Callithrix jacchus: one gene and its partners. The protein of the gene in region 7 interacts with the protein of the main gene of each other region in a pairwise test. Links are inferred from orthologs where the notes say so. Each region holds a gene or a part of one and is shown on either strand. Other genes may lie near its edges.

Region 1 (3,877 bases), on a different chromosome or scaffold from region 7:
CCCCAGCTGGGTCCGGGGCTCTCGCGGCGGCCTCCGAGTGGGCGGGGCCCTCGGTGTCGGAGTCCGAGATCTCCCAGGTTGCAGGTCGCCACCGGCCGCTCCGGCCGCGGCGAGAGGTCCCCGCCCTCCCGGGTCCAACCCGCGCCATGGCCAGGACAGCTTCTCCTTCGCTTCCGGTCGCGCCCGAACACTTTAGCCTGAGACACCAGCCTCTTCCGGTGGTGGGCGGGCCTGGGGGCGCGCGGTGGCAGCGGCTTCCGGCCGGAGCGCCGAGGAGTTGGACCCACCATGGCGCGGAAGAAGGTGCGTCCGCGGCTGATCGCGGAGCTGGCACGCCGCGTGCGCGCCCTGCGGGAGCAGCAGAACCGGCCGCGCGACTCGCAGCTCTACGCCCTGGACTACGAGTCCCTGACGCGGCCGTTCTCCGGACGGCGGCTGCCGGTCCGGGCCTGGGTCGACGTGCGCCGCGAGAGCCGCCTCCTGCAGCTGCTCAACCGCCTCCCGCTCTTCGGCCTGGGCCGCCTGGTCACGCGCAAGTCCTGGCTGTGGCAGCACGACGAGCCGTGCTACTGGCGCCTTACGCGGGTGCGGCCCGACCACACCGCGCAGGTGCGTGCACACGTCGGCAGCCCCCCTCCTGCAGCCGCCGGGTCTCCCCTCCCGGGCGGGCTCGCGGGGCGGCCCCGCCTCCCCCGTTTCTGCAGGTTTGTGGGGTTGAGGCTCCCCCTGCTGACTCGGAGGCCGCGAGCCTTGCGAGCTGACGACCCACTTTCCCCTGGCTTTGCAGAACCTGGACCACGGGAAGGCCTGGGGCATCCTGACCTTCAAAGGTAAGGCTCGGGAGAGCAGGTGCCCGGCGGTCATTGCCGGCCGCCGAGGACACAGCACGTGAGTGCAGGACGCCTCTTTCCTTCGCCAGGTAAGACGGAGAGCGAGGCGCGGGAGATCGAACACGTCATGTACCACGACTGGCGGCTGGTGCCCAAGCACGAGGAGGAGGCCTTCACCGCGTTCACGCCGGCGCCCGAGGACAGCCTGCCCGCCGTGCCGTACCCCCCGCTCCTCCGGGCCATGATTCTCGCACAACGACAGAAAAATGGAGACACGAGCGCCGAGGAGCCCATGCTGAATGTGCAGGGGATACGCGTGGAACCCTGGGACTACCCTGCAAAACAGGAGACCAAAGGAAGGGCCAAGGGCACCCGGGTCTAGAACGCCAGAGCCGGCGGGTGGCCTGAGGGGCTGAGGCCGCGGGGACCTTGCTGGTGAAAGAAGCCATCCTTGCGTTGCACCTGAGTCCGCCCCGTGACGTGTTCTGACGGGCTGCCTCGTAGTGGACAGGGCTGGGCAGATCGCCAGCTGTCTTTTCCTCCGGCCCTGCCGCCCCCACAGCCAGCTCGGAGGGCACGCGGGGGAAAGCCGGAGGTGCTGGCCCCTTCCCCCATTGGAGCTCTTTCTGGTGGGATCCAGGCAGAAACTAGGGAGTAAGAAAGAAACGAAAGGAAACAAACGATAAATAAAGGGAAATAGAAGATAAACACGGGCCAGGGTTGCGTTTTATTTGCGCGCTCTCTGCAGGACCGGGGAGAGGCTGACGCCGTGGTCACGGCCCTGGTCTGGGGGCGCGGGCGGTGCGGGAGCAGGGCGTCGCGTGGGTGGAACCACCTGGGCGGCTTGGGGCGGGTACAGTTAAGAGTCCGAGCCACTGGAGGAGACTTGGCCTCCGCAGCTGCTCTCCGGCCCCCTACGGCTGCTGGGTTCCGGGGTGCAAGCAAAGCGGTCCGCGGAGGCCGCCGTGCCGGGTCCAGGCCCCTTTAAGCGCAGGCCCCGCCCCAGGCGCCGCCGCCCCGCCCCGCAGAGCTCGCTCGGGCGCCGCCATCATGATCTGCTTGGTGCTGACCATCTTCGCCAACCTCTTCCCCGCGGGTGAGCGGCGCGGCGCGGCGCGTGCCGGGGTCGGGCGGGCAGTGCGGGGCTGGCCTGACGCCCGGTCCCCGCCCGCCCCGCAGCCTGCACCGGCGCACACGAGCGCACCTTCCTGGCCGTGAAGCCGGACGGCGTGCAGCGGCGGCTGGTGGGCGAGATCGTGCGGCGCTTCGAGAGGAAGGGCTTTAAGCTGGTGGCGCTGAAGCTGGTGCAGGTCGGGGCGCGGGGCGCGGTGGAGGGACGGGGTGAGCGGGCGCGGGGCGGGGACCTGGGGACGCCTGGGTCCCAGGCGCGGGCGCAGGCGGCCTGACCCTTTCGCAGGCCTCCGAGGAGCTTCTGCGCGAACACTACGCCGAGCTGCGCGAGCGCCCGTTCTACGGCCGCCTGGTTAAGTACATGGCCTCCGGGCCGGTGGTGGCCATGGTGAGTACCTGGGAAGCGGGCGGGCGGCCCCGGGACCTCCGCCTCCGCGTGACACCGCCCCCGACCCTCCCGCACAGGTGTGGCAGGGGCTGGACGTGGTGCGCGCCTCGCGGGCGCTCATCGGGGCCACGAACCCGGCCGACGCCCAGCCCGGCACCATCCGCGGGGATTTCTGCATCGAGGTTGGCAAGTAAGGCCGGACCCGGGGACGGTCCCAGCCCTGTCTGGCCTGCGTGGGACCCGTGCCCGAGCTCTCCTTCCTGCGCTCACGCGCGCCTCTTCCTCTCAGGAACCTCATTCACGGCAGCGACTCGGTGGAGAGTGCCCGCCGCGAGATCGCGCTCTGGTTCCGCGCAGAGGAGCTCCTGTGCTGGGAGGACAGTGCCGGGCACTGGCTGTATGAGTAGCCCGGTGGGGCACCAGCCTCCTCCAGGGCCCAGGTGGCCAGGCTTTCGGACCCGCCCTGCAGCACTTTGAACGTCCCTTCTGATGGGATGTTGAACATTTGTCAGGACGGTGCATGGAGGGTGGCATGGGACCCCCCAATCCCTGGCGTACAGGGCTCACCTGGAAACGTGCCAGGACCCTGTCCTGGCGCCCAGCCCAAAGTGGTCCAACATTTCTTTTTATAATAAAGTCCTAGTTCTCGTGTGGGTTTGGTCCCGGAACAGGCAGCTACGGCGTTAAGACGTTTATTACATACAGAGCAGATATGTGGGTTTGCTTGCAGGACCAAAGCCTGAGGAGAATCGTCACCCCCTCCCCCAGCCGCCCCATCCGTCAGCCGGGAGTCACTTCCAGATCCTGGGGGAACAGACGAGGGACCGGACGTACATCACAGTGGAGGTGGCAGGGTCGTGGGGAGAAGCCAGCAGCACAGCGGCTGCAGCCCACGGTGGCCGGCAGGGCTCATGGGGCAGCTCCCCAAGATCTGTGCTTCTCTGGTTGGGGATGGGGAGGGACTGGGCTGCCCTCGTTGGGGCCTCCCGGACAGGAGTGCAGTGGGCCTGGAAGGTGGGAGTGGGCCAGCGAGGCCCGGCTGGGCAGGGAGTGCAGTCCAGGGTGGTGACTGCTCCCTGTGCGCTTGGAGTCTGCTGGAGGCGGCTCCATCCTCAGCTCCATGGGCCTCCACTTGGTGGCCTCTCTGTTGCTCCTGGGGAACCGGCCACAGCGGGCAACCCTAGGCACTTAGTAGCGTGTCTGGGAGCTGGGCTCTGTAGAGCCCCATGCAGGAGGCAGGCCCCAGGAGCACACCATCCCCCACCAACCTGAGGCTGAGCCTGCGTCCCAGGACTGACCCCGGGGAGGCCAGGGGCCTCCCCTTCTTCCTGAGGCCTGGGCCTGCCCTGGCAGCCTGAGAAATGTCACCCCAGGGGCTTCTAGGAGGCACAGGACTCCAGGGCCCACTCCTCCAAGCAGTCTTCTGCCCAGGCAGAGCCTGAGGGGACACAGGTCAGAGCAGGGCTGGTGAGACCCTGCCTGCATGGACGGGATGGGGTAGCAGTCTCTTCTCAAGCAGCTGCCCTGG
Region 2 (3,006 bases), on a different chromosome or scaffold from region 7:
GCATTAGTGACTCTCCAGGACAGGAGGCAAGACACATTTTCCCATGGGGTGAGAGGGGGCAGGGCAAGGCAACTGCAGGAAGAGGCCTCCCTCCAGGAGCAGCAGTTAACCAGCTCCTGCCACCTGCCACCTTCTGGTATCCCAGATAGCACTTAGGAACAGGAGCCTGATTCTGGAAGGTCCTGCCCATGTGTCATCCTGTCCCACCTACCCTACATGGGTCCATATGGGTGTGGCTCTGAGTGGGAACCCCAAGGGTGTGTTGGGGCACATACCTGGCCTTTGCTTCCTTGTACTCATCTGTGTCTGTGTCCTCATCTTCTGAGTACTGGCCCTCGGGCCGGCCTCCCGCCATGAGGCCCCTGGCAGCCAGAAGGCCAGCAGCATTCCCATAGCCCGTGTACTTGATAAATCGGGGCACTGAGGAGCAAGGCAGAGGTCAGTGCAAGCCTGGCTTAGGTGGGGTGGGACCTGGGCCTCCATAACTCACCACTCTCAGAGCACAGGACAAACAAGAACTCGGCAGCCACCCTCTTCACGTCTGTGTCCAGGTGCGTCATGAGGCGGACAAGCTTGTTCCGAAGCATCTCCCCAACCTCGGGCCGTGTCCTCACATCCCGCAGAGGGGGCAGCACCTGGGGAGGCGGCCGTCCCTCAGCTTCGGCTTGGAGCAGCCAAGAGTCTGTGATCAGGGCCCAACCCACATCTCCCAGGAGCGCCAGCTTCTGAGCCTCATACCTGGGCCTTCAGGAACTTCCTGGCTGGGCGGTGCATCCGGGCACACTCAGTCAGCACGTTTAGCACAGGAGCTACGCTCTCTTTCAGCCTGTGTGTCTGTAGAGAAGCCTCTGTCATCAGGCTTATGGCCCTACCTAATTTGAGACTGGCGCAGAGTTACATCCCCAAAACCCCCTGCCCCCGCCCCCAAGACACACCAGCTGGTCCTAGCGGCAGGGGTTTGGGAAGAGACCCCTCTGCAGTTAGTCAGTGGAGGGCCAAGAGTGGGTGCTAGGTATCTGTGTCAGTTTTGAAAGGGGCGGGGATAGAGCCCAACTCAGAAGTTTTGTGACTTGGCTCAAATAACTGCTTCAATTATAAGCCAGGGATGGGAAGAAAACACAAAGCAATTCAAGCTTTGGCACACACATTGACCTCAGATGACGGTGGCAAAAAGAAACGAGAACTGAATCCCTGCTCGGTGTACTTCATGGACAGAAAGCAGGGAGTTCCTGTCCCTCCTAGCATAATGTGCCTGGACCCTAGTATCAGCAGTGGCAGCGACGGGGACAGCTGACCCCAGCTGTGTGCCCAATGCCAGGTCCCTATCCTGACTGGCTCACATGCACCATGTGTGTCCTCTGCTTAGGCAGGTAGATTCCCAAGACGTCTACTGAACCTGCTTTCTGCAAGAGCCTGGAGAATGGTTAGAGCCCAGCTGTCCAGATGCCCCACAGTGCAGTCACAGGAATCAGAGGGAACCTTTGATCAGAGGTTCCTGTGGGTCTCTTCAGGGTGCTGAGGGACAGCCATGCTTATAATCAAGGGCTGCCTGTGTCTAAGAGTTAAAAGCAGGGACTGGGGGAGCTTCTCAGGACCACTCAATAAAAATCCACAAATATTTAAGCAGAAGTGAAACCTTTAAGTGTGTGGAGGGTGTCCACATGCTTCTCATGGAGGAAGGGTCTGGCTTCTTGCCAGGCTGAACCTCAGAACAGCCAAAAGAACTGCCCATATCACATCACCAAGATGATCTCCACTTACCAGTGTGGAAGCACTGACCACAGCTGTGCAGGACAGCCAGCGCCAGAGACACTGGGGGAGCCTGCACAGCCATCCCCAGCCTACCTGGTGCAAACGCTTCTCTAGGAAGATGAGGAGGGCACGAATCACATCCATATTCACTCCCATGAACTCCACGGAGTCTTCGTGTGGCTCCAGGGTGAGGAGAACATCCAGACACTTGAGGGGCAAGTTCCCCAAGAGGTTCACTGCATGGCTGGGGACAGGAGACGGGGGTCTCAATAGAGCTAATCCCTTGGCACAGGTGCAATCTTTGTGCCCCCACTGAACCACACATTACACGAGCTGGCGTCTGAGGACCTAAAGGAGCAACACTAGGGACCAAAAACAAAGGCAGAGACCGATCGTAGAGGCACTGCCACTCAGCTGTACAGTGGGGTCCCCTGGGGAGGTGGGGGCACTCAGACACCCTAACTGCCCCACCCTGTCTGGGCTAAAGTGCCACCATCTCTGGAAACCCAGATCAGCCTAGGGGCAGGTGGCCCAAGAAGGGGGACAAGGGACCAAAATGCCCAGTAAACAGCATGTATCTGTTGCCACTACCCAAGGTCCAGTTGGCACATTCCTGTCCCCAGATTCATGGCTCCTGTCCTGGCCACCTATTGGAAGCACTCAGTATTCTCCGGAAACACTGATGTCCAGTACCATTCACTCAGACAAAGTCAGACCCCCCCCAGGGTGGGGCCTGGGCTCTCAGGCGGTTCTGGTCCACAGGGTTGAGGACCACTAGCTAGACAATGTGGCCATAGAAAAAGCCATGTCCTCACCCGTGGAACTCCTCTGTGCGGTCTCCAGCAGTAGTAATCATCACACAGTGCCGGAGAAGGACCCCCAGGTGCTGGTAAAGGGCAGCATCTTCCTGACCAAAGAAAGAAGGGTTCCTGTGAGGAGCCCCACTCATCCCACTGCTGCCTGCTGAGGCTCTACTGTCTTGCACTCCAAGAATATGTGGCACTGACTGTGCAGCTCCCATACTCCATGCCTGACCCCCTGGGGTCTCCTAAGTGACTTTGGTAGTGCTGGGGGCAAAAGATGACCACCTCTGTCTTCTTAAAAGCACCTCCGCCGAGGCGGGTGGATCACGGGGTCAAGAGATCGAGACCATCCCGGTCAACATGGTGAAACCCTGTCTCTACTAAAAACACAAAAAACATTAGCTGGGCATGGTGGTGCGTGCCTGTAATCCCAGCACTTTGGGAGGCCGAG
Region 3 (3,600 bases), on a different chromosome or scaffold from region 7:
CAAGTTTGAGGTAAATGAGTAATAATTTTGCTAAAGATTCCTGTGGTTTGTGGAGATCATATAGAAAATATTCATGATTTTTTAAAAAGAGTTATCCTAAGTTTAATGTGAAATAATATCTACGTTGTTTTTTTCCTCCCCTCAATGACCAAATATTTCTTTTGCTATAGTGTCTTCTATTATGTTTTATTTGTGTTAACTCATATTTTCTTTGTTTTCAGGAACCCTTTCAAACATGGCTGAAGCAAAGACCCACTGGCTTGGAGCAGCCCTGTCTCTTACCCCTTTAATTTTCCTCATCTGTGGGGCTGAAGCAGCTTCATTTCAGAGAAACCAGCTGCTTCAGAAAGAACCAGACCTCAGGTTGGAAAATGTCCAAAAGTTTCCCAGTCCTGAAATGATCAGGGCTTTAGAGTACATAGAAAAGCTCCGGCAACAGGCTCACAAGGAAGAAAGCAGCCCAGACTATAATCCCTACCAAGGTATTGCTGTCCCCCTTCAGCAAAAGGAAAATGGTGATGAAAGTCACTTGCCTGAAAGTTCGAGGGATTCACTGAGTGAAGATGACTGGATGAGAATAATACTTGAAGCTTTGAGACAGGCTGAAAATGAGCCCCAGTCTGCACCAAAAGAAAATAAGCCGTATGTCTTGAATTCAGAAAAGAACTTTCCAGTGGACATGACTGATGATTATGAGACACAGCAGTGGCCAGAAAGAAAGCTCAAGCACATGCTATTCCCTCCTATGTATGAAGAGAATTCCAGGGATAACCCCTTTAAACGCACAAATGAAATCGTGGAGGAACAATATACTCCTCAAAGTCTCGCTACATTGGAATCTGTCTTCCAAGAGCTGGGGAAACTGACAGGACCAAACAACCAGAAACTTGAGAAGATTGATGAGGAGCAAAAACTTTATACGGATGATGAAGATGATATCTACAAGGCTAATAACATTGCCTATGAAGATGTGGTTGGGGGAGAAGATTGGAACCCAGCAGAGGAGAAAATAGAGAGTCAAACCCAGGAAGAGGTGAGAGACAGCAAAGAGAATGTAGGAAAAAATGAACAAATCAACGATGAGATGAAACGCTCAGGGCAGCTTGGCCTCCAGGAAGAAGATCTCAGGAAGGAAAGTAAAGACCAACTCTCAGATGACGTGTCCAAAGTAATTGCCTATTTGAAAAGGTTAGTAAATGCTGCAGGAAGTGGGGGGAGGTTACAGAATGGGCAAAATGGGGGAAAGGCCACCAGGCTTTTTGAGAAACCTCTTGATTCTCAGTCTATTTATCAGCTGATTGAAATCTCAAGGAATTTACAGATACCCCCAGAAGACTTAATTGAGATGCTTAAAACTGGAGAGAAGCCCAATGGATCTGTGGAACCGGAGCGGGAGCTTGACCTTCCTGTTGACCTAGATGACATCTCAGAGGCTGACTTAGACCATCCAGACGTGTACCAAAATAAGATGCTCTCCAAGAGTGGCTACCCTAAAATGCCTGGTAATGCTGGGACTGAGGCCCTACCAGATGGGCTCAGTGTTGAGGATATTTTAAATCTTTTAGGGATGGAGAGTGCAGCAAATCAGAAACCTTCATATTTTCCCAATCCATATAATGGAGAGAAAGTTCTGCCAAGGCTCCCCTATGGTCCTGGAAGAGCTAGATCGAACCAGTTTCCCAAAGCTGCCTTGATGCCGTATGTTGAAAACAGACAGATGGCATATGAAAACCTGAATGACAAGGATCAAGAATTAGGTGAGTACTTGGCTAGGATGCTAGTTAAATACCCTGAGATCATTAATTCAAACCAAGTGAAGCGAGTTCCTAGTCAAGGCTCATCTGAAGATGACCTACAGGAAGAGGAACAAATTGAGCAGGCCATCAAAGAGCATTTGAATCAAGGCAGCTCTCAGGAGACTGACAAGCTGTCCCCGGTGAGCAAAAGGTTCCCAGTGGGGCCCCCGAAGAATGATGATACCCCAAATAGGCAGTACTTGGATGAAGATCTATTAATGAAAGTGCTGGAATACCTTAACCAAGAAAAGGCAGAAAAGGGAAGGGAGCATATTACTAAGAGAGCAATGGAAAATATGTAAGCGCTTTCATTAATTACCCTACTTCCACTCCTCCCGTCCCAAGCAAACCCTAACATTTCTCTTTAGTGTGTTGACTTCTATCTTGTTAGCACTGTAATATCTTTAAATGATGTGCAGGCAGATGAATCCAGGTCACTGGGGAGTCTGCTTTGTTTCCTCTGAGCTGTTCTCGTGTATGGATATGTGTAAATGTTGTGACTCCTTGATAAAAAATTTATTATGTTCATTATCCAAGAAAGATATCTATGACTGTGTTTAATAGTGTATCTAATGGCTTTGGCATTGTTGATGCTCACACATGATGAAGAGTGTCCGATAGTTCTATTGAAAGTTTTTAATATTTATTGAATTATTTTGTTACTGTCTGTAGTGTTTTGTGGAGTACTGGAGCAAAGAAAAATAAAGCATTATAAATATATAGTTTTATTTATAAGGCCTTTTCTATTCCGTGTTTTACTGTTGATTAATAAATGTTATTTCTGGACAAATTTGGACTCTTAATTCCGGAAAACCAGAGACAATGACTCTGGAGCAAGCAGTATGAAGCCAAAGGAGAAAATCATCTTCACCAGATCATTCCGGTAAGAAGTAATAAGATTTCATACATGTGCTCAGAGATCTGTTTGCAGAATGCCGCATCCTCTCACAGCCCACTAGTTATGCTCGGCCATGGTTTTCCTCATATAGATAATCTATAGAGTAATATAGGGCATAATCTTGATGTAGTAGGTATATTTTTTACTCTTGATTTATATAAGTAAAAGAAATGTAAGTCTCCAATATCCATAACCAGCATCAAAACAAAAACAGAAAGAAAAAGAAAAGGCTGCATATATGGCAATCAAAAATGACTACAGACTTGAAAGCAAACTGTCTATTCCCAGGTCATGTTGGTTCCCAGAATACAAGGCTGTTGTCTCTCTTATGTGACTTGAGAGGGGCCAAAGGACCCCCAAACTGACCAGTAGGTAAGCGAAGGAGCACAGTCACAGTGGGAACAGACCAGCCCCATCTCCTGCCCTAGTGGCAAGGCAGTGCATGATTATTACAGCACACATCACTTTAGTGCAGTGTCAGCCAACTGACACATCAACAAGGAATCCACACAACACCAGTGAGAAAATGTATACAGCAACGAAACAATAATGGTCATAAACAAAGAAATAAACAATAGCTTTTATTTTTTGAGTGCTTACTGTGCTACAGACTTTATACTAAACACTGTACAAACTTTGCCCTGTTTAGTCTATAATTTTTCCCTCCCTTTTACAACAGGAAAAATAAAACTCAGAAAGATTAAATAACTTTCCCAAAGCGACTTAGCATTATGAGTTGTCAAATCTTTATTCTCAACCGCTTCACTACACTGCCTCTCTGGGAAGAGCCCTTTCAACTGAGGAATGGGACATTGGGGTTGAATCTTGAGAAGCGCCTGAGGTTTTAGGACAGGTCACTTCCAAAAAAGGACACGTGTGTGTGTGTGTGTGTGTGTGCTTCGTGTG
Region 4 (3,793 bases), on a different chromosome or scaffold from region 7:
AGTTTAGATTGGGGGTTTTCAGGTCCTTTTGGGTGGGCAAAGGAAGATTTCTGGAAATTCCATTATAACCAGCTTTTTTCAGGGAAATTGTTTTACAGTCCAGACTTAAACTATGTTTCTAGTATATGAACATGTTTGTCTTTTTCCTCTTCCCTCAATGTCTCCTTCCCATCTAGTACTACTGTATAGACATCTGCGTATTTAGAAGAGTTTTACCCATTTGACAAAATATGTGAGAACTGTTGACATACTGAGGATGTAGTACAGTATAAAACTTGGAAAAATGTAGATATTGAAGGAATAATAGATATCTTGTGCTTTAATCTTTTGTGGCAGAACTGTTCTGAGGTATGAGATGAGCAGGGCTTGTTTTCAGGACCCTGCTGATCAAAACGGGATACAGCAAAGAAATGGGCCAAAACTAGATATGACTAGGAATTATAGTGTATTTGCATAAGACACTCCCGGCAGTGCCATGACAGTTTGTAAATGACGCCATGGCAATGACTCAGAAGTTACCTTATATGGTTCTGGGAATTCTCTGCATCTTTTCAAAAAGTTCATGAATAATCCACCCCTTATTTAGCATACAATTAAGAGTGGGCACAAATAAAGCTAGTCAGCATTCCACAAGTGCTACTCTGGGCCAGTCTGCCTATGGAATAGCTCCTCTCTGCCTATGGAGCAGCCATTCTGCTGCACACAGTGGCTCTAATAAACTTTTATTTTTCTCACTGTCTGCTCACTCTTGAATTCTGTCTTGAGCGAAGCCAAGAACCCTCCATGGATGGGCCCCGGATTTGAGGTTTGCCTGCATAAGCCCTGTAAGCAAATGAATCAAACAACTATGTGAATCACAAACAAAAACAATACATACAGTAAATTAGGATGTTTCCTAACGTTTAACCTTCCTTAAATTAATTGAATATGCTGCTTTGGATTATATTTTCTAATGTTTGGGAATTTCCCATTAATGTTGCAAGGAAACCACATCTGTAACCCACATGCAATACTTCTCTACTGAGAGATGCATGAAGAAGCAGGAAAACGTTCATGCACAGAGCCTCCTCACTCATTGCAAAATATCTCATATACCCCATCAATATATACACCTACCATGTACCCACAAAAACTAAACATGAAAATATTTTTTAGGGGGATGGAGTCTCACTCTGTCACCCAGGCTGGAGTGCAGTGGCAGGATCTCGACTCTCTGCAACCTCCACCTCCAGGGTACAAGCGATTCTCCTGCCTCAGCCTCCTGAGTAGCTGGGATTACAAACACGGGCCACGACGCCTGGCTAATTTTTTGTATTTTTAGTAGAGACGTGGTTTCACCATGTTGGTCAGGCTGGTCTCGAACTCCTGACCTCGTGATCCGCCCACCTAAGACCTCCCAAAGTGCTGAGATTACAGGCGTGAGCCACCGCGCCCAGCCACATTAAAATAGTTTTTAAAAGAACCTCACCCAAGCGGCATCCCGAGCCCAGGGTCTGTGAAGGAATACGCTACAGCTACTGAGTGAGGAGCAAGGTGGGGTGCCTCATCCACATCCAAGAACGTGAACTCTCTGATCCCCATTGGCAGCGGGCTCCGCCCCCGCAAGCGTACCAGCAGCCCTGGGCCCCTCCCCTGCTCCCCGCCTCTCTTCCCTGCACAGCGTGGGAAATATCGGCCCCGACTATTTGATCCGACCCCGCCTCCTCAACTGCCATTGCCCCACCTCGCGTGGTCCCTTTGCTCCCGTGTGCCTGGTGACTCTCCTGAGCACGGGCGACAACTAGGCTTTGCGGGCGGAGCTCGCGCTGGCGCTTGGGCCCTCCCCCATGGCTCAGCCCGCAGCAAACCCCCGCCCGGGCCCGCCTCTCCGAACATGCACTTCCGGCGAAGACTCTGCGCTGAGCCCCACGCAGCGAGTGCGGCGCCATGGACGGTCGGGTGCAGCTGATGAAGGCCCTCCTGGCCTGGCCCCTCCTGCCCGCGGCGCGTCGCTGGAGGAACCCGATTCCCTTTCCCGAGACGTTTGACGGCGATACCGACCGGCTCCCGGAGTTCATCGTGCAGACGGGCTCCTACATGTTCGTGGACGAGAACACGTTCTCCAACGACGCCCTGAAGGTGACGTTCCTCATCACCCGCCTCACGGGGCCCGCCCTGCAGTGGGTGATCCCCTACATCAAGAAGCAGAGCCCCCTCCTCAATGATTACCGGGGCTTTCTGGCCGAGATGAAGCGGGTCTTTGGATGGGAGGAGGACGAGGACTTCTAGGCCTGGAGCCCCTCGGGCCTGGGGCCGGGAGCTCTGGGGAGGGTCCGCTGTGCCAATGGCCGCCGCCAGGGTCACCAAACGCACCCTCCCTCCTCGCCTCCCTCTCCTTCTCGCCGCCGTTTTGTCCCCTGCGCTCCAGTTCCGTCCTGTGTAGTGCTTGCCTCTGTTCCAGGAATAGTGCTCCAGGCTGCCGCTTCTGCCCCTGGGTCTCACTCTGGAGCGAGCCGCCGCCGCCCTCTCTTGCCAGCCCAGCCCCTCCCATGCATATTTGGACGCTGTCCTGCGCTCCAGTTGCACAAAGCTGGGCTCCTGTTACACACTGGACAGACCACCCACAGCCGCCGCTGCCAACCCCACTCCACTCCTCCAGACTGCCAGACGACTGCAGCATTCTGCCCACAGACCATCGCCGTCCACCACATCCCACCGACGGACTGTTGTTCCTAGTGACCTGGACTCACCTCAGAGGTATCTGAACTGGCCACAGCCCCTGGACAATGATCCAGACAGCCGGCTGACCCGCAAGGGGCCTGTCACCTTCAGTGAGACCCATTTCCTCCCCATCCCCAGAGACGTCTTGTGTTCCTGCCACATGGCTGCCAGGGCTCAGGTGTGCCTGGCAACCAAATCAAATCTCTCATTTTCTCCTGTGGACCAGTTAGTTCACCTAGAATCCAGTTTCCTTCTGAGTTTGCAGCTGTCTCTCTGATGGGTGCCTTTTTTTCAACACAGTAACCCCTGCTCCCTGCCCTGCTCTAATACACTACCTGTACAAGGGTCTTTTCCTTATTTTTAATAAATGTCAGACATTATTAAAAAAGAGATGGAGTCTCAATGAATATGGCACCTTTTCCTCCCTAGTTCTGTAAATGGGGTCCATATCTTGTTCCAATGCTATGTGCCCTGTCATGCTATGGCTGAGGTTGACTCTTGCATTATAAAAACAAAAGATTGAGTCCTGTGGTGTCTTGTAGGGATGGAGATCTTACTGGCAGCCATCTAATGCCAAATGGTGACCCTTCTAAACCAGGCAGTTTCATGCCCCTTTTGAAGTAGACCTTGATCTGATTTTGGCCAAGACAATGTGGAAAAATTTTTTTGTAAAAGGTTTCCTTATTTTCAAAAAATGGCTAGGAAGCACAAATCTCAGATTGTTACAAACCATAAATCCCACACATTTGTTCATGAACACCTGTCAAGGTTTTATTTAACCAGAGATTCATTAATGAAACATGAGAATTGCAGAGGTACTTCTATTAAAGCATTTATATTTATAAAACCTTGAATATGGAGGTAATGGGGAAAGGGATGTTTAGGGGGGAGATCCCATAAGTGCTGAGGCTGGAGCAAAAGGCCTCAGCCTATTTCCACACAAATAATGAAGAAGAAAGTAACTAAAAACATAACTGTAGTAGTTATTAGTTATTCATATGTGATCTTAGTTATTCATAGGTGATCTTCATTCTTTTACTAATACCTCTCAGAAGTGTGAACCTGGGGTGACATTTTGAAATGAATGACACTA
Region 5 (4,901 bases), on a different chromosome or scaffold from region 7:
GGTGGGGTGCTCTGAAGGCCTGACTAGTCATTCATAATTGAGAGTACTTATTCCAGCCCTTCTGGGCCTCGATCCTTCCCCTTTTGGGACCTGCTGATTCAGAGAGGTCAGAGGGCCAGTCCAAGAGGGGTCAGGAACTAGGTCCCAGGAGTCGGTCCTAGGGGTTTTAGTCTGCGAGGAATCAGCCTGGAATCCCTAGTGAAAATCCTGAAAGTGAAGGGCCTACAGAGAAAACAAATCTATGACATCACCTCTGAGGAGGTTACAGACCTAAGAAAGAAGCAATGGCCCTGGGTGGCCTGCAGCCCCAGAAGATTCAGTCATGGTGCCAGGGAGACCTGAGGGCCCAAAGCCCAGAACTGCCCCCAGAGGAGCACCTGCAGACCTCCAGTTTCTCAGCTTCCCATTTCCCATTGGACTGACTCTGTTTCTGGGAGGGGGATCAGTACATGTTCACTGTGCACCTGCAGCCCAAGCATCCTCAGAGAGAAATGATTTGGGAAGGGTTTGCCATACTGAGGATAGATGGGTGGATGGAAAATAAAGCAATGACAGCAAGATATTAACCATGGTAGAATCTATGGTTATATGAGTACTCACTATACAATTCTTTTTTTATTACTTTGTTTTTAGAGCTCCCACACTGTTGTGGAAGGGGAATCCGGAGGACATAGCCCTACAATTCTTTTTTTTTTTCTTTTTTTGAGACACGATCTTTCCATCATGGCTCACTGCAACTTCAACCTCCTGTGCTAAAGTGAGCCTCCTGCCTCAGCCTCCTGAGTAGCGGGGATCACAGGTGTGCACCACCATGCCTGGCTAATTGTAGAGATGAGATCTCCCTCTGTTGCTCAGGTTGGTCTTGAACTCCTAAACTTAAGCAACCCTCCTGCTTCAACCTCTCAAAGTGCTGAGATTACAGGCATGAGCCACCGCACCCAGCCTCACTATACAATTCATTTTTTGTTTTGGAGATTGAGTCTAGCTCTGTTGACCAGGCTGGAGTGCAGTAGCATGATCTAAGCTCACTGCAACCTCCGCCCCCCAGGTTCAAGTGATTCTCCTGCCTCAGCCTCCTGAGTAGCTGGGATTACAGGCACATTAGCCACCATGCCTGGCTAATTTTTTAGGTATTTTTAGTAGAGACAGAGTTTCACCATGTTGGCCAGGATGGTCTAGAACTCCTGACCTTAGGTGATCCACCCACCTCAGTCTCCCAAAATGGATTACAGGTGTAAGTCACCGTGCCTGGCCACTATACAATTTTTTAAACTTATATGTGTTTGGAATTTTCATAATATTAGAAAAGGCAAAGAAAAAAGTGTCTGGCGAATAGTCGGCACTCCTAAGGATAAGGTTTGGGGAGTATATTCCTTTCTTGGAGAATCCACATTTTGAATGCCTGAGAAGGGCTCTGTTTGTCCTGACAGATGGCAGATTTCAGGTGAGAGCACCTATCAAGCACAGAAGTGATAAGCTACTTTGCCCATCCAGAGCTGCTGGCCCTTCGATTGGCAACCTCAAGTTTACTATGCTCCTCCTGATATATGGCACTTCGCCCAGAGTGGACTCCACCCTGCTACCTGTCACCCAGGCTGGAGTGCAGTGGTGCAATCTTGGCTCCCTGCAGCCTCAACATCTCAGGCTCAGGCAATCCTTCTGCCTCTCCCTCCTGAGTAGTTGAGGCTACAGGTGCTCGCCACTGTGCCCAGCTAATTTTTGTTTTTGTTTTTTGTTTTGATAGAGATGAGATCTCGATATCTTGCCCAGGCTGAGCTAGAACTCCTGGCTCAAGCAATCTGCCTTTGCCTCCCAAAGCATTGTAATGACAGATGTGGGCCACCATGCCCAGCCAGGATTTCAAAAGAATCTTACCCTACGATGTAGTATCTATTGACTATGGAGGAGAGGCAGGATAAGGTGTTCCGGACCCTGCCTGACACCTGATCCGAAGAGGTTGCTCATGTTTGCTCAGGAGGTGAGGTTCACACGATAAAGGGCAGGGGGAGGGCTTGGACCTGGTATAAAACATCTGGAAGTTTCCAGGGTGTTTTGCATCTGAAACTGCCAGGTAAGGGGTGACAGAGATGCCTGAATCTGAGTTGGGGGGGAATTCAAATCTGAGCTGGAGGAGAGGATGCCTGGACGGAGTGGCAGGGAAGACTTGAGTTAATTGGGCTCCTGGATCTGCACTAATCTTAGGTGCAAAGCTGTCTAGGTCTCTGCTGAAGGACTGGGGATGCCTGGGATGTTCAGGGGGATGGAAATGGCTAGATGTGTGTTAGCGGAGAAAAGAATGGTGACACACAGACCAGGCACCTGGGGTCTAATATTCTGAGCTGGTCCCGACTCCTGCTGCAATTTCTCTGTCTGTCCTAGTTCCACCAGCGCTGCTTGGATACTGGTGCTGGCACAGTCCCTTCTGTCACCAACTTTGCTCCCCAGGTGACATAGAGGCACCCCTAAAATGCTACTTTCCTTGCAACAGGTGGATGCTAGGGATTTAAACCATGCTCCAGGTGCTTCATAAGCCAGGCCAATCCACCACAGATGGTGAGGCTTTGCTCAGACTCCGGGCTCCGTAAACTCAACCATCTCTGTGCTTGGGAGGCATCCTCCACTCTCTCCTTAGAAAACTCCTTTCCTGGCTGTGGCCATACCAACCCAAATGTGCCTGAGCTTGGCTGATTTCAGAAAATATTTCTGCTTTGTGCCAGGAGGGAGTAAGGTTTACTCCAGATAGTTAGGATTCATCTGCAGGCGAGAGAAAAGAGGAGGGCTTGGCTGTAGCCAGACCAGGAAGAGCTGGAGGGGTCAGGGACACAGAATGTAGAATCAGGAAGCAAAAGGACTGCAGGCGATGGACAGACATTTCTAAGCTCAAGACTGAGTCTGCTAGGTCTGAGTTGAAGGACGAAGCCTTGGCCTGAGCTGCAGGTCAGGAGTGCCTGGGTCAATGAAGTCCACAAAGAAAAAGGTGAATCTTCGTTTGCTCTTTTCTTTCCACTGCAGCCCCAGAATGTTGATGTTGACCGTTGCTCTCCTAGCTCTTCTCTGTGCCTCAGCCTCTGCCAGTGCCAGTAAGTGAGATACCAGGAGCCTGGTAATGGGGACATGGGAAGGCAGCCTTGGGCACTGCTGTTGGCCAAAGCTTTTGGAGGCTGGCTTGGGGTGGGGAGCTGGGATGTGGGAGGAACAGGGGTGGTGCAGAGAAACTGAACTCCTGGAAGATTTCTCCCTCTAACTCCTGCTTGCCCCTCCAGTTCAGGCCAGGTCTTCCTCCTATAGCGGAGAGTATGGAGGGGGTGGTGGAGAGAGATTCTCTCATTCTGGCAACCAGCTGGACGGCCCCATCACCGCCTTTCGGGTCCGAGTCAGCAAATACTACATCATAGGGTAAGATTCTTTGAGATCCCGGCTGGGTGCAGTGGCTCACACCTGTCATTACAATGCTTTGGGAGGCAGAGGCAGATCACTTGAGGCCAGGAGTTCCAGCTCAGCCTGGGCAAGATAGCAAGACCGCATCTCTACCAAAGAAAAACAAAAACGAAACTTAGCCAGGCATGGTGGCAAGCACCTGCAGCCTCAACTACTCAGGAGGGAGAGGCGGGAGGATTGCCTGAGCAATCAGGATGCTGAGGCTGCAGTGAGCCAAGGTTGAATCACTGCATTCCAGCCTGGGTGACAGGGTCTCTTAGTTGGCAAAATGAGTTGAAGTTACCTGTAGGATCTTACAGGGCTCACTCAGGCTTCACAGTCTGTAGGACGAGCAGATCTGTCATCCCTGCCATCACCATTCTCCTTCCCTCCTCCCTTCTCCCCCAGTCTCCAGGTGCGTTATGGGAAGGTGTGGAGCAACTATGTGGGTGGCTCCTCAGGAGACCTGGAGGAGATCTTTCTGCACCCTGGGGAATCCGTGATCCAGGTTTCTGGGAAGTATAAGCGCTACCTGAGGAAGCTGGTCTTTGTGACAGACAAGGGCCGCTATCTGCCTTTTGGGAAAGACACTGGCACAAGTTTCAATGCCGTCCCCCTGCATCCCAACACGGTGCTCCGATTCATCAGTGGCCGGTCTGGTGCCGTCATCGATGCCATTGGCCTGCACTGGGATGTCTACCCCAGTACCTGCAGCAGCTGCTGACCCCCCTCCCCTTGGCAGGGGCACTGTGGTAAGGAGTAAGAACTCACTTATCACTCACCCCCATCCAAATGGCTCAATAAAAAATACGGCTAAGGTTGGTGTGTGTGTGGGCATCTGTAGCTAGGATCTGCCTCCTGACTCAGCCGGGGGACGTGCGAATCTCACTTCTGGCTGGCTTTGGACATCAGTCTGGGAAGAGTGGGAAGATGAGGGAGAGGTGTGTAAGAATCCTGGGCTTTGTGCTATGATTTATCAAGAGGAGATGGGATTCTGGCTTGCATCAATGCTCTTCAAGGACAGCTCTTCAGAATGTTAATCCAAACAGGAGTCCTGGATCTCCTGGGTTTTCTCCATGTTGGTCAGGCTGGTCTCTAACTCTTGACCTAGAGGAAGGCCTAGTTGTGGCTTTTAAACCCCAGATGTCCCACCCTCCAGCTCTCTTCACCCCTGGTCCTCCCCTTGAGAAAGTGCTAAACTCACATGCTGTGTGTGGGTGGCTGGGACCATTCCCCTTTGTTCTTTCCCAAAACCCACTTAACTCCTGAAACAGCTGAAGTCTGTGCCCACCAGGCTGAACTCGTTAAGGAATAAATGGGAGTTGAGAAAACATAGGCAGCAAGAAGTTTGGTCTGGGCTGCCAGAAAATAGGCAAGTCAGTTATGGGGGGCGATGTAAGGCAAAAGGGTTTTGTGTCTTTTTAAAATCCCAGACAGGAGAGTCATGAGCATGTTCACATGATAAAGAGGAACAAAGAGGAAGA
Region 6 (4,807 bases), about 66 Mb from region 7:
GAGAGGAGTTTTTTTTTGTTTTTTTGTTTGTTTTTTTCAAAACACTTGCTTGAGATAGATCCCCAGGAATATTTTTAACACTTTTCTGTCATTAGGGAAACATCGATATGTCTGTATTGAGATATATATATATATACACACACACATACATATACATATAACATGTATATGTGTAAGACTACGAACAGTCCGAAATTTATACATTGGGCTGATAACTGTGGTTTTCAGGAAAAAAGAATGCAAAGTCTCCCTAACTCGTATAAGAAGGGAGTATAAGTGAGAAAGCATTTGGCACCGCCTCTCCCTTATCCCCTACTTGCTAATTACAATTTTTCAAATACAGTTACCAACTGCAAACTACCATAATCTTGGTTTATCTTCATAGCAAACTTCATTTAGAAATTTAGAAAATGGGGAGAGAGAGTAAACAAGGTTAAGAGAGTGGGTTCCCAGATAGAATCGGGTACAAATCAGGGCTCCAACAGGCACAGGTTTGCTGTGTAACCGCCTAGGTTACACAACAGGTGTAGGTTAACCACCAGCTGCCTTATCTTATGAAGTCCTTAGGAGGATTTAGTGAGCCACGCACCTGAAGTCCTTAGCTATAGCCAGACAGCAAGTATCCAAAGGTGTTAGTTATTGTTTTTGTTCATGGTTTTATCATTGTGCAAGGGTCGCATAGCTAAGTGGAATTTCAAATCCAAGGCCATCCTACTTCAAACTCCTTTGTGCTCCTAAGCTATGCAGTATAGTCACCTTGGAGAGCATGCGATTGTCCCCAAACTACCTCAGGGACTGCAGGTTATGGCCAGCCAGTCCTCTATCAGACCTCGTCCTTGCCAGATGCCTAGTGCCCCAGATTCCCTCAAATCTCAGGCCAGACAACTTCCCACCCGGTAAGACTCCCCCACCTTCACCCCTGACTCTCCAAAACTAGACTTGGTGTGGGTTCCCGGGAAGCTCTGTCTGCAGGGACAGTATTCCCCACGTCTGCGTCTGCTGTCGACTTCCCAGCTGAGTAGGCAAAACATTCATTCCTTTACAGAGCAATGTGTTCATGGATAAACTTGTCTCTAGCGCAGCTCTGTGTCAGAGCACAGAACATGGAGCCCAAGCACTGCCCTTCCCAGGGAGTCCCGGTTCTCGACTTCCCCAGGATGGAAGTTTGATTCTACCGTTGGCCCATTTCTTTGATAGAAAAACTGAGACTCAGCGAGGTGCCAAGGCTTTGATTAGGACTACCCTGGAAGCCACGGCTTTGTAAGGGGTAGACATTGGGACTGGAGTCAGAAACGCGTTCTGGCTTATCTCCTGACTTACTGAATGAACTTGAGCAGGTCCCTTTCGCCCGTGGGCCTCGGTTTCTTCATCTGCACAACGAGACGGAAAACTGGATTACGTGTAGCTAAGGCCCCCGGGTTCTCAGAGGAATGCTCACCCCTGCAGGGCCGACCGGCCCCGCGGCACTACAAGACCCAGCTTGCCTCGGGGGGCGGGGCTCAATGACTGACAGGGAGCTCTGCGAGTTGCCGCCCGGCAAGGGGCGCTCAGCGGCGCGTGCGCAGAAGGCGGCAGGCGGGTGGGCTGGCGGCGGTGGACTCGTTGGAGCCGCGGGCGGTCAGGTAGGGGGCGGGAAGGAGGGTTGGGGACCAGGGACCGCGGCCGGAGTCGTGGGCGGTGGCACAGTAGCGGGGCGGAGGGCCGTGCCGGCGAGCAGCGGCCGCGCCCGAATGGCAGAGTCTGTGGACCGGATCTGAGGGGCAGGACTGGGGTGGGGGTGGGGCTGCTAGGGGCAGGCTCGGGAGAGATTCATGGGGCTGAGGAGATCCGAGGAGATGCAGCTGGGGGAGGGGAGCGAGGTGCTCTGAAGAGATTTGCGTTTGAAGCATTTCGGGAGGTATGAGGTAATGTGGGGGCCGAGAGGAGAAATGGGGTGCAGCATGTGGGAGATGGGAGGGAATCAGGGCCCTGGAGGGACCTGGGTGCAGAATTTCAGAAATATGAAGGAACTGGGGACCCCCGATGAGATTTAAGGGAATCTGGGGGCGCTAGGCATCTGGCAAGGACAGGGTCTGAGATGATAGGAGCAAGGTCTAGGTCGATCCTCAGTGCTAGTGAGAGAGGGTTTTCGGAGTGGGATGAGCGTGAGATTGAGGGGATGGGGATGAGTTCTTGAGGGACTCTGTCTTGTTAGCAGAAAGAAGGGACCTGGCTGAACTGTGAAGCCAGCATGTGACATTCAGTGCGTAAGAGGAAGGAACAGGGTTTGAGAGCGGCACAGTGCCTGATGGAATGCAGGAGATGGGGGGCTCAGAATGAGGGAGAGCAGAAATCAAGTGTGGAATTGGGCCGTTGAACTGAGGTGCAGGGCTGAGTGCAGCAGAGATTTGGAAACAGGGATTAAAGGATCTATGTCCGAGGGATTTGGGGCATAGGAGTGAGGAATTGATGAGGGTTGCAGTATACAGCGCCAGAGATTGGAATTTGGTATTGTAAGAGGGTTGGGGACAGGGTTTGGAGAGGATTGAATCATAGGGTAGAGATGTCCTAACTGGGCTATAGAATCAAAAAACCCTGAGTCGGTTTGTGGACTGGTGTCTTGGACTGCTGAAGAGATTTTCCTTAAATCGCTGCATGGGAGACAGATGGAGTTCAGGGGACCCAAGGACCTAAAAGTAATGTATGATATAGATGAGTATATGAAGATGAGCAGAGTTCAGGTGTTGAGGAACGAAGTGATACATCTTCAGTTCAGAGATCCTGAAGGAGTGTGGTGATCCTTGTGAAGGGCAGAATCTTCTTCATTTATTAAACAAATATCCATTATCATGAGGCAGGTATGGTATTGCCACTAACTCCCCTCTGACACCCCCAGGCCACTGAAAATGGTGGGCTTTGGGGAAGAAGAAATGGAACTATTCAAGGTCATCTACCTAAGCCCCTTTTCCTTGTACCCACAAGCTGCGATAGCAGATAGAATGTGAGACCTCCAGGGGAATAAGTGGAATAATTAATCCTATCTAAGATCCATTACAGCTTGAAGGGGCGGTGCCTCTGTGAATGAGGTGTTTGGGCTCTGAGAGAGACAAAAATAAAAGGGAACCCTTATGTATTGAGCATTTAGTCCTGTGCCAGACTATAAAGAAGTGGTTCTTAACCAGGGGTGGTTTTGTCACCTTGGAGACATTAGGCAATGTCTGGAGATGTTTTTTGGTTGTCACAGTTAGGGTGGGGAATACTACTGGCTTCAAGTGGGTAGATGAAACATGTTAATGTTTTATGTTAATGTTAAACATTTGATAATGCATGGGATAAGCCCCTGCTCCCCAGTAAGGAATTATCCTGCCTAAAATGTCAGTACTGCCAAAGTTGAGGCACTCTGCCCTAGAGTCAGATATCCTGGGTTCAAGCCCTAGCTCTGTCTCTTCCTGACTTTGTGGCCTTGAATGAGTTACTTAACCACCCAGTGCCTTGACTCTTCACCTGTAAAATGGGGTTATGATAACGACCTATGTCACAGAATTGTGAGGATTTAGTGAAATAAATTAGCATGCCTAGGATCTGGCACATAGTATGTTCTCAAAATCTAGTAACTTTTAGTCTTATATCTACTTCTTTATTCAGTTTTCGTATCTTTCTAAGTAGGCTCTGCTGTTTTCAGTTTTACACGAGGGAACTAAGGCTTAGGAAGTGACTTGCCTAAGTTTCCATAGCTAGGAATGACACATAAGCTCATACCCAAATCTCTGTAGCTCTGTATATTCCCTTTTTCCTTGCTACTTCCTTTCTAAGGCCTGCTTAGTCTTATTTTCTCAGCCCATTCCCCTCTAATGAAAAAGAGGATTGCCCAGTGACTATCAAAGACGGGGTGGCGGGGTGGGGGGGTGGGGGGGCGGAGAAGGTAAATCTCTCTGATTAGGTAGGGAGGAGCCCTGGACTTTGTTCTTGGTTTGCTCTTAGACCAAGACCAGGGGCTAGATAAGGAGACGAGTTTGAGGTTACCAGGCAGAATGAGGTGCAACAGACTATGGGGTGAGGTATGGAGGCCGTTGGCTTGAGAAAACACCTCATAGCAGGGACTGAGGCTTAAGGCATTCATATTCTGAAGGAGAGTAATCACTGTTCTGTGTGATCTCTTTTGGGCTGCTTTTCCCTGGAACAAAATAATAGCATTGGCTCTATCATCTCCAGGACTAGCTACAGCGTTGCTGAAGCCAGTTCAGAAACAAAGCTAGACTGCATCTGACTGCTAAGGTTTAGCTGGAACATCCGCGCACATCCCTAAAAGAAAATATGTCATGGGAATTCAGTCAGCCCTGTCTAAACTCCTTACTCTGTTGCTAATTTCTTATGCTACTTGGACAAGTACTTGTCCTGTCACCCTCAATCTATTAAAAATGCACATGATGATCATTTATTGAGTGCTTATTATGTGTGTTATCTTAGTGAATTCAATCATCCTGCTAACATTCTGGGTTTTATTCCTTGTTTACAGATGAGAACGTACCCAGGGCTACAGAGCAAGTGGCTAGGGTTGGGATGCAAACCCAGTTCTGTCTTATTCCTATGTTACATTATAGTAGTTTTCTTAGAAGGCTTTTCCAGCCCTTCAGAACCCCTATGTTTATGTCTGGAGAGTAGTTGGAAGCCAGAAGTTTGTAAGGCCCTTAAAGTAGATCATTGTCTATGCACACTGATGTGTAACCTTTGTGACATTCCCTTCATCATGTCTTTCTGGTAAAACAATCAAATTTAGAAATCATTTCTAGGAGCCCTTACCAACATATCAGCCAAACTTTGTCTAAAG
Region 7 (4,267 bases):
TTAAATTGACTTTAGAAGCTAGTCCTTCATGAGACAAGATTTTACCGTAAATGCAACCAGAATGTTTAAACTCGTGTCTTCTTTTACTGGTATATGTTGGGCATGTCCTTTTAAAGATCTTTTAGTTTTAAAGTTCTTTCATAGTTAGTTGATACATAATATATATAATCATTTGTACTTGGTAAAATTAAACACAGTGCATATTGTATTTTAAAGCTTTAACTTTTGTTTTTTTTAAAACAAACTTTCAGCTAGTATGTTCAACACTCCAGGAATGCAGAGCTTGTTGCAACAAATAACTGAAAACCCACAACTTATGCAAAACATGTTGTCTGCCCCCTACATGAGAAGCATGATGCAGTCACTAAGCCAGAATCCTGACCTTGCTGCACAGGTGAGTTTGTATTTGCATTGAAAAGGACTGTGCAATGTGAACCTAATCTAGTAATTGTGATTTTGGCACATTTGTGTTGTGTATGATATCTTAATGTACTAGAAAAGTAAGTAAACTGTGTCTCCAATTTTTTTAGACCATGTGTTTCTTTGTAGTAATTAAATACTTCATATATAATTAAAACAACTTTATCTCTGTCATTCATTGACTAGAAAGAGGTATAGGTTTACTTTGTTTCTACATATGTTGAGTTAGGAGACAAGTACAAAGTGCTGTAATGCCCTCTCTTTTGAAGATACACTATTTAATGAAATGTTAATCTTGAAAGCAAGTAATAGCAGTGTTAATACATTTGAAATAGTTTTATTTAGTAGATCACTAAGATTATAATAGTCATGCTCAAAATGGCAGTTGTAAAATAGCAGGAAGTCTTTATTAAAGATGGGAATTTGTCAAAACAATGTTCTCATTCTTTCAACTATTGATTCCCCTGCTGAAGATAGTATGCTTATCCCTTATTAATGTATTCCTTTTTCTAATTTGTTTCTAAAGAGACTAAAACTAAGAAAATTAGGGGATCTCAAAGTTTGCTGAACTTTCAGGAACACTTGGGAAGCTTTACAGACAGTTCTGATGCTTTGGCCCCATCCTTAGAGATTTTGATATAATTGCATCTGAAAACCCCTTCCCCCTCAAGTTCCCTAGGTACTGTCTAGGTTCCATACCATAGGGCTTAAGAAACCACGGAGAATGAAATAAACCTTGATCATCTGTAGTTTATATTTGCTGTTTATTAGAAACAACTGCTGTAGTGTGTCAGGAATTTGAAACACTTTATAGTTAATCCCATTCCTTAAATTTTAAAAGTTTTAAGTCAAATGAATGGTTTTTATTTTCTAAATTCTAGAAGTATATTGATTCAAGTATCTTCGATGTATAATTCTCAGCCCTCACCAAATTTGTGGAATTGGAAATAATACATTTTAAGAAGAATTTTTGTGTCTTTGATTTTGTTTATTGGAGGTACATTTTATGGAAAATTGATTTATTCATATGAAACTTATCAGACTGAGTTGTTAATGGCTTAGTTTACTGTAATAGCCATTTTAAGTGTGTATTTGGCTAATACTGAATGTGCATCGTACTTTTAAAATTTGACTTTAACAAGCACATGCCTAGCAATTTTTAATAATATTATAGTAGTAAAGTGACTTGAGCACTCACATACTGTTTTTTTTACTCTAAAGCAAAATGCTGCTAATACTAGATTGGCATGTCTTATTACACATAATTTAGAAAACTATTACAACGTTCTTATTATCAACAGATTAAAATGTGTGGTTTTTCTATTTTGAGTTTTAAATATTTACAAAGAGTCTGGAGTGTAAACTTGTGGTATAAGCACTCAGGTAAGTTATAAGAAATACCCTAATGAATGAGATGATCATCTGCGAATGAATACATTTAAGATGACATGCTTTTTTAAGATTAAATAAAGTAACTCCCAAAAGATATGTGTGATAACCTTGTTAATATGTTTGTAATAAAGAAGTATTTAACTGGAACCACTACAGAAGCGGGTTTCTTGACCTTAAGCAGGTATTACTTTCTGTGAACTTATTGGTCATTTTGAAATAAATATGTATGTTCCTGCAAGGTCATCTGACTTCTCCTTTGGTTATTATATTAAAATTAACTAAAAGATCCACTTTGCAAGAATTGGGGCAAATTTTCTCTACCAGCATTTACATTGGTCTTAAATACGGTTAACTACTTGAGGGTGAGGATCATTTCCTCCCCAGACTTTGGATAGGTAAATAGGCTATCAGTAAATCCTTGCTAGTTGACTTTTTACTCTGGGGAAAATGATATAAAGTGTGTCTTTTGACGCTATGAGAATTTATTAGTTTCTGGTTATGCTGATTGTGTATTTTAATCTTATTTTCAGGTATATGACATCATACTAATACTGATTCTGATTTTTAAATTCTAAACATTTATTTGAAGGTTAGGAGATGCCACTTTTCTCATCTCTGGTGGTAGTGAGGTGAAATCCAGATGCTAATCTTGGTGTTCTCAAATGGATTTACATCTTTTAGGTCTTAAATTATTTTAATACTTTCCCCAGAGGACTGTTGGTGCTAGGCCTGGCTGATTTTCACCTAGCAGCTCCATTTCTCTGGCAAGTTGGTTGCTGTTTTGTGGTGTTATTTTTTTGGACCTAATATTAGCAGTTTTGTAGTAGGCAGGTAGATGTAGTGGTCCTTTTCAGATCTGGATTTTCTCGTGCTTGCCACTTGTGTGTTGAGGTTTCTAAGCAAGCCATGTTACATAGTTTCATGTATTGATGTTTATGTTTATTCTGTCAGTGTAGTAGAAAATATATCTTCATGAATGCCAGTTACTCTCATTTTTCTTTCAATGGCAAGTATTGACCTTTGTTCAAGGAAAAGCCTAAGAAAATGATTGCTTTTATTTTTTAGGATATTGCATGTCATTACCATAACCACCATTCTCATTGAGAGAGAAGATGCATCGCTTTTGTTTTTGTTGTTCTGGAGATCCCTCTTGTGGACAGTATCTTCCCTTTTCCTTTTTTATTTATGTTCTACCTTCCTCCCTTTTAAGTGCCAGTTTAGGCACTTGGGGGAAGGTAGAATAAAACAAGGTACATTACTTGTTTCAGATATTTCCAGTAAAAATTGTTTGAACACTTGCCCCATAGATGATGCTGAATAATCCCCTATTTGCTGGAAATCCTCAGCTTCAAGAACAAATGAGACAACAGCTCCCAACTTTCCTCCAACAAGTGAGTAAGACAAGATGTTAGCTATCTTGGGTAATGATTTGCTTGAAAAAATTTGATGATGAACATTTTCCTTGTTCTTCTCTGGCTGATAGCAAAACATGGAATAGAGACTGATAATGCTGTCAATTCGTAGAGAATTCAGCCCTATCTTAACAGAGTCCCATTTCACTGCTGACTTTTTGCTTATGTTTCTCAAACATAAATTCTGAGGAAAGAACCATTTCGTTTTTGCTTTTGAGGACCTAGGATTTTGAATGCTTTGTTAATACCATAAACCATTTCCTTTCACTGTACTAACTTTGAAGTGCTTCCTTGTGTCATGTTACGCTTTATGGTTTAACTAATTTTGAGTAACAGGAAAGAGCTACCCTATTCTATTTTACAGGTTGTTTTCTTCCAAATTAATAGAATGCTTTTTTTCCCCAAGGGGTAGATCTCATTTCCTCAAACTCGGGATTAGTGATTAAAATGGTCAGTGTTGTCATATAAGGAAGGTTATGTTATAAACAAGTACTTGAGATTGGCCATGGTATTTTATTATTTAAAACGATAAAAGAGAAGTCAGTCTTGGTGTTTTGAAACTGGTAGTTCTGGGGCTTTATATATTTTGTAGTGACTCTCAGGCTTGTAAACCATTTTCCAAGGTTAGTTGGTATCCTTGATCTATTGTAATGATGTAAGCCTATCTTTGGTTAGTCAGGTGGTGTATATTTGGAAGTAGTAAAGCTAAATTCAGGATACATGTATTGTCAAATTTGGAACTGTTGTTTTAGAGTGTACCTTACTGGTAAAATTGTTAAATTAGTAACAGGTAACACTTGGTTAGGTGGAATATGTGGCTTTCACCATATTACCATGTTGTAAGAATTGTGTATTTGGAGGTTGTCTTTTAGAAATAATACTTTATCTTCTATTGGAGAAGGGGAATAGTTGTGGCTTCCAGAGTAGCTTTTGATTGTCTTCCATTATGAAAATGGCTTTCATGATGGACTTAGGAGGAGGTCAAGTAAAGATTTTCATACTAGGTTTGCTGTCAAAGAGGAGATACTTGTGTTTATTTGGGG

The links.
Region 1: the proteins of UBQLN1 (region 7) and NME3 interact in binary tests that used the Homo sapiens proteins (3 or more experiments, as listed by UniProt). The two-hybrid records come from large-scale screens. The link is inferred for Callithrix jacchus from reciprocal best matches to the Homo sapiens genes UBQLN1 and NME3.
Region 2: the proteins of UBQLN1 (region 7) and RIC8A interact in binary tests that used the Homo sapiens proteins (3 or more experiments, as listed by UniProt). The link is inferred for Callithrix jacchus from reciprocal best matches to the Homo sapiens genes UBQLN1 and RIC8A.
Region 3: the proteins of UBQLN1 (region 7) and SCG2 interact in binary tests that used the Homo sapiens proteins (3 or more experiments, as listed by UniProt). The two-hybrid records come from large-scale screens. The link is inferred for Callithrix jacchus from reciprocal best matches to the Homo sapiens genes UBQLN1 and SCG2.
Region 4: the proteins of UBQLN1 (region 7) and retrotransposon Gag-like protein 8A interact in binary tests that used the Homo sapiens proteins (3 or more experiments, as listed by UniProt). The two-hybrid records come from large-scale screens. The link is inferred for Callithrix jacchus from reciprocal best matches to the Homo sapiens genes UBQLN1 and RTL8A.
Region 5: the proteins of UBQLN1 (region 7) and ZG16 interact in binary tests that used the Homo sapiens proteins (3 or more experiments, as listed by UniProt). The link is inferred for Callithrix jacchus from reciprocal best matches to the Homo sapiens genes UBQLN1 and ZG16.
Region 6: the proteins of UBQLN1 (region 7) and TRIM32 interact in binary tests that used the Homo sapiens proteins (3 or more experiments, as listed by UniProt). The two-hybrid records come from large-scale screens. The link is inferred for Callithrix jacchus from reciprocal best matches to the Homo sapiens genes UBQLN1 and TRIM32.

What each region holds. Positions count from the first base shown.
Region 1 is NC_133513.1:4,028,347-4,032,223, reverse strand, and holds NME3 (nucleoside diphosphate kinase 3), read left to right. Parts: upstream 1-1,856; 5' UTR 1,857-1,880; coding exon 1,881-1,926; intron 1,927-2,009; coding exon 2,010-2,140; intron 2,141-2,247; coding exon 2,248-2,349; intron 2,350-2,426; coding exon 2,427-2,539; intron 2,540-2,638; coding exon 2,639-2,756; 3' UTR 2,757-3,023; downstream 3,024-3,877. Other genes in the region: structure-specific endonuclease subunit EME2, read right to left, coding at 1-148; MRPS34 (small ribosomal subunit protein mS34), read left to right, coding at 289-609, 788-830, 920-1,212. UniProt on the Homo sapiens protein: Catalyzes the phosphorylation of ribonucleosides and deoxyribonucleoside diphosphates, other than ATP, into the corresponding triphosphates with ATP as the major phosphate donor.
Region 2 is NC_133511.1:131,720,947-131,723,952, forward strand, and holds part of RIC8A (chaperone Ric-8A), read right to left. Parts: intron 2,660-3,006; coding exon 2,568-2,659; intron 1,997-2,567; coding exon 1,846-1,996; intron 835-1,845; coding exon 739-834; intron 636-738; coding exon 491-635; intron 421-490; coding exon 276-420; intron 1-275.
Region 3 is NC_133507.1:145,325,189-145,328,788, reverse strand, and holds the end of SCG2 (secretogranin-2), read left to right. Parts: intron 1-221; 5' UTR 222-235; coding exon 236-2,098; 3' UTR 2,099-2,516; downstream 2,517-3,600. UniProt on the Homo sapiens protein: Neuroendocrine protein of the granin family that regulates the biogenesis of secretory granules.
Region 4 is NC_133524.1:130,627,381-130,631,173, reverse strand, and holds retrotransposon Gag-like protein 8A, read left to right. Parts: upstream 1-1,889; 5' UTR 1,890-1,926; coding exon 1,927-2,268; 3' UTR 2,269-3,088; downstream 3,089-3,793.
Region 5 is NC_133513.1:29,729,811-29,734,711, reverse strand, and holds ZG16 (zymogen granule membrane protein 16), read left to right. Parts: upstream 1-2,020; 5' UTR 2,021-2,071; exon of another isoform or gene 2,072-2,202; intron 2,203-3,012; 5' UTR 3,013-3,019; coding exon 3,020-3,080; intron 3,081-3,263; coding exon 3,264-3,396; intron 3,397-3,825; coding exon 3,826-4,141; 3' UTR 4,142-4,234; downstream 4,235-4,901. UniProt on the Homo sapiens protein: May play a role in protein trafficking. May act as a linker molecule between the submembranous matrix on the luminal side of zymogen granule membrane (ZGM) and aggregated secretory proteins during granule formation in the TGN.
Region 6 is NC_133502.1:165,023,127-165,027,933, forward strand, and holds the start of TRIM32 (E3 ubiquitin-protein ligase TRIM32), read left to right. Parts: upstream 1-1,552; 5' UTR 1,553-1,904; intron 1,905-4,807. UniProt on the Homo sapiens protein: E3 ubiquitin ligase that plays a role in various biological processes including neural stem cell differentiation, innate immunity, inflammatory resonse and autophagy.
Region 7 is NC_133502.1:99,347,077-99,351,343, forward strand, and holds part of UBQLN1 (ubiquilin-1), read left to right. Parts: intron 1-251; coding exon 252-394; intron 395-3,119; coding exon 3,120-3,203; intron 3,204-4,267. UniProt on the Homo sapiens protein: Plays an important role in the regulation of different protein degradation mechanisms and pathways including ubiquitin-proteasome system (UPS), autophagy and endoplasmic reticulum-associated protein degradation (ERAD) pathway.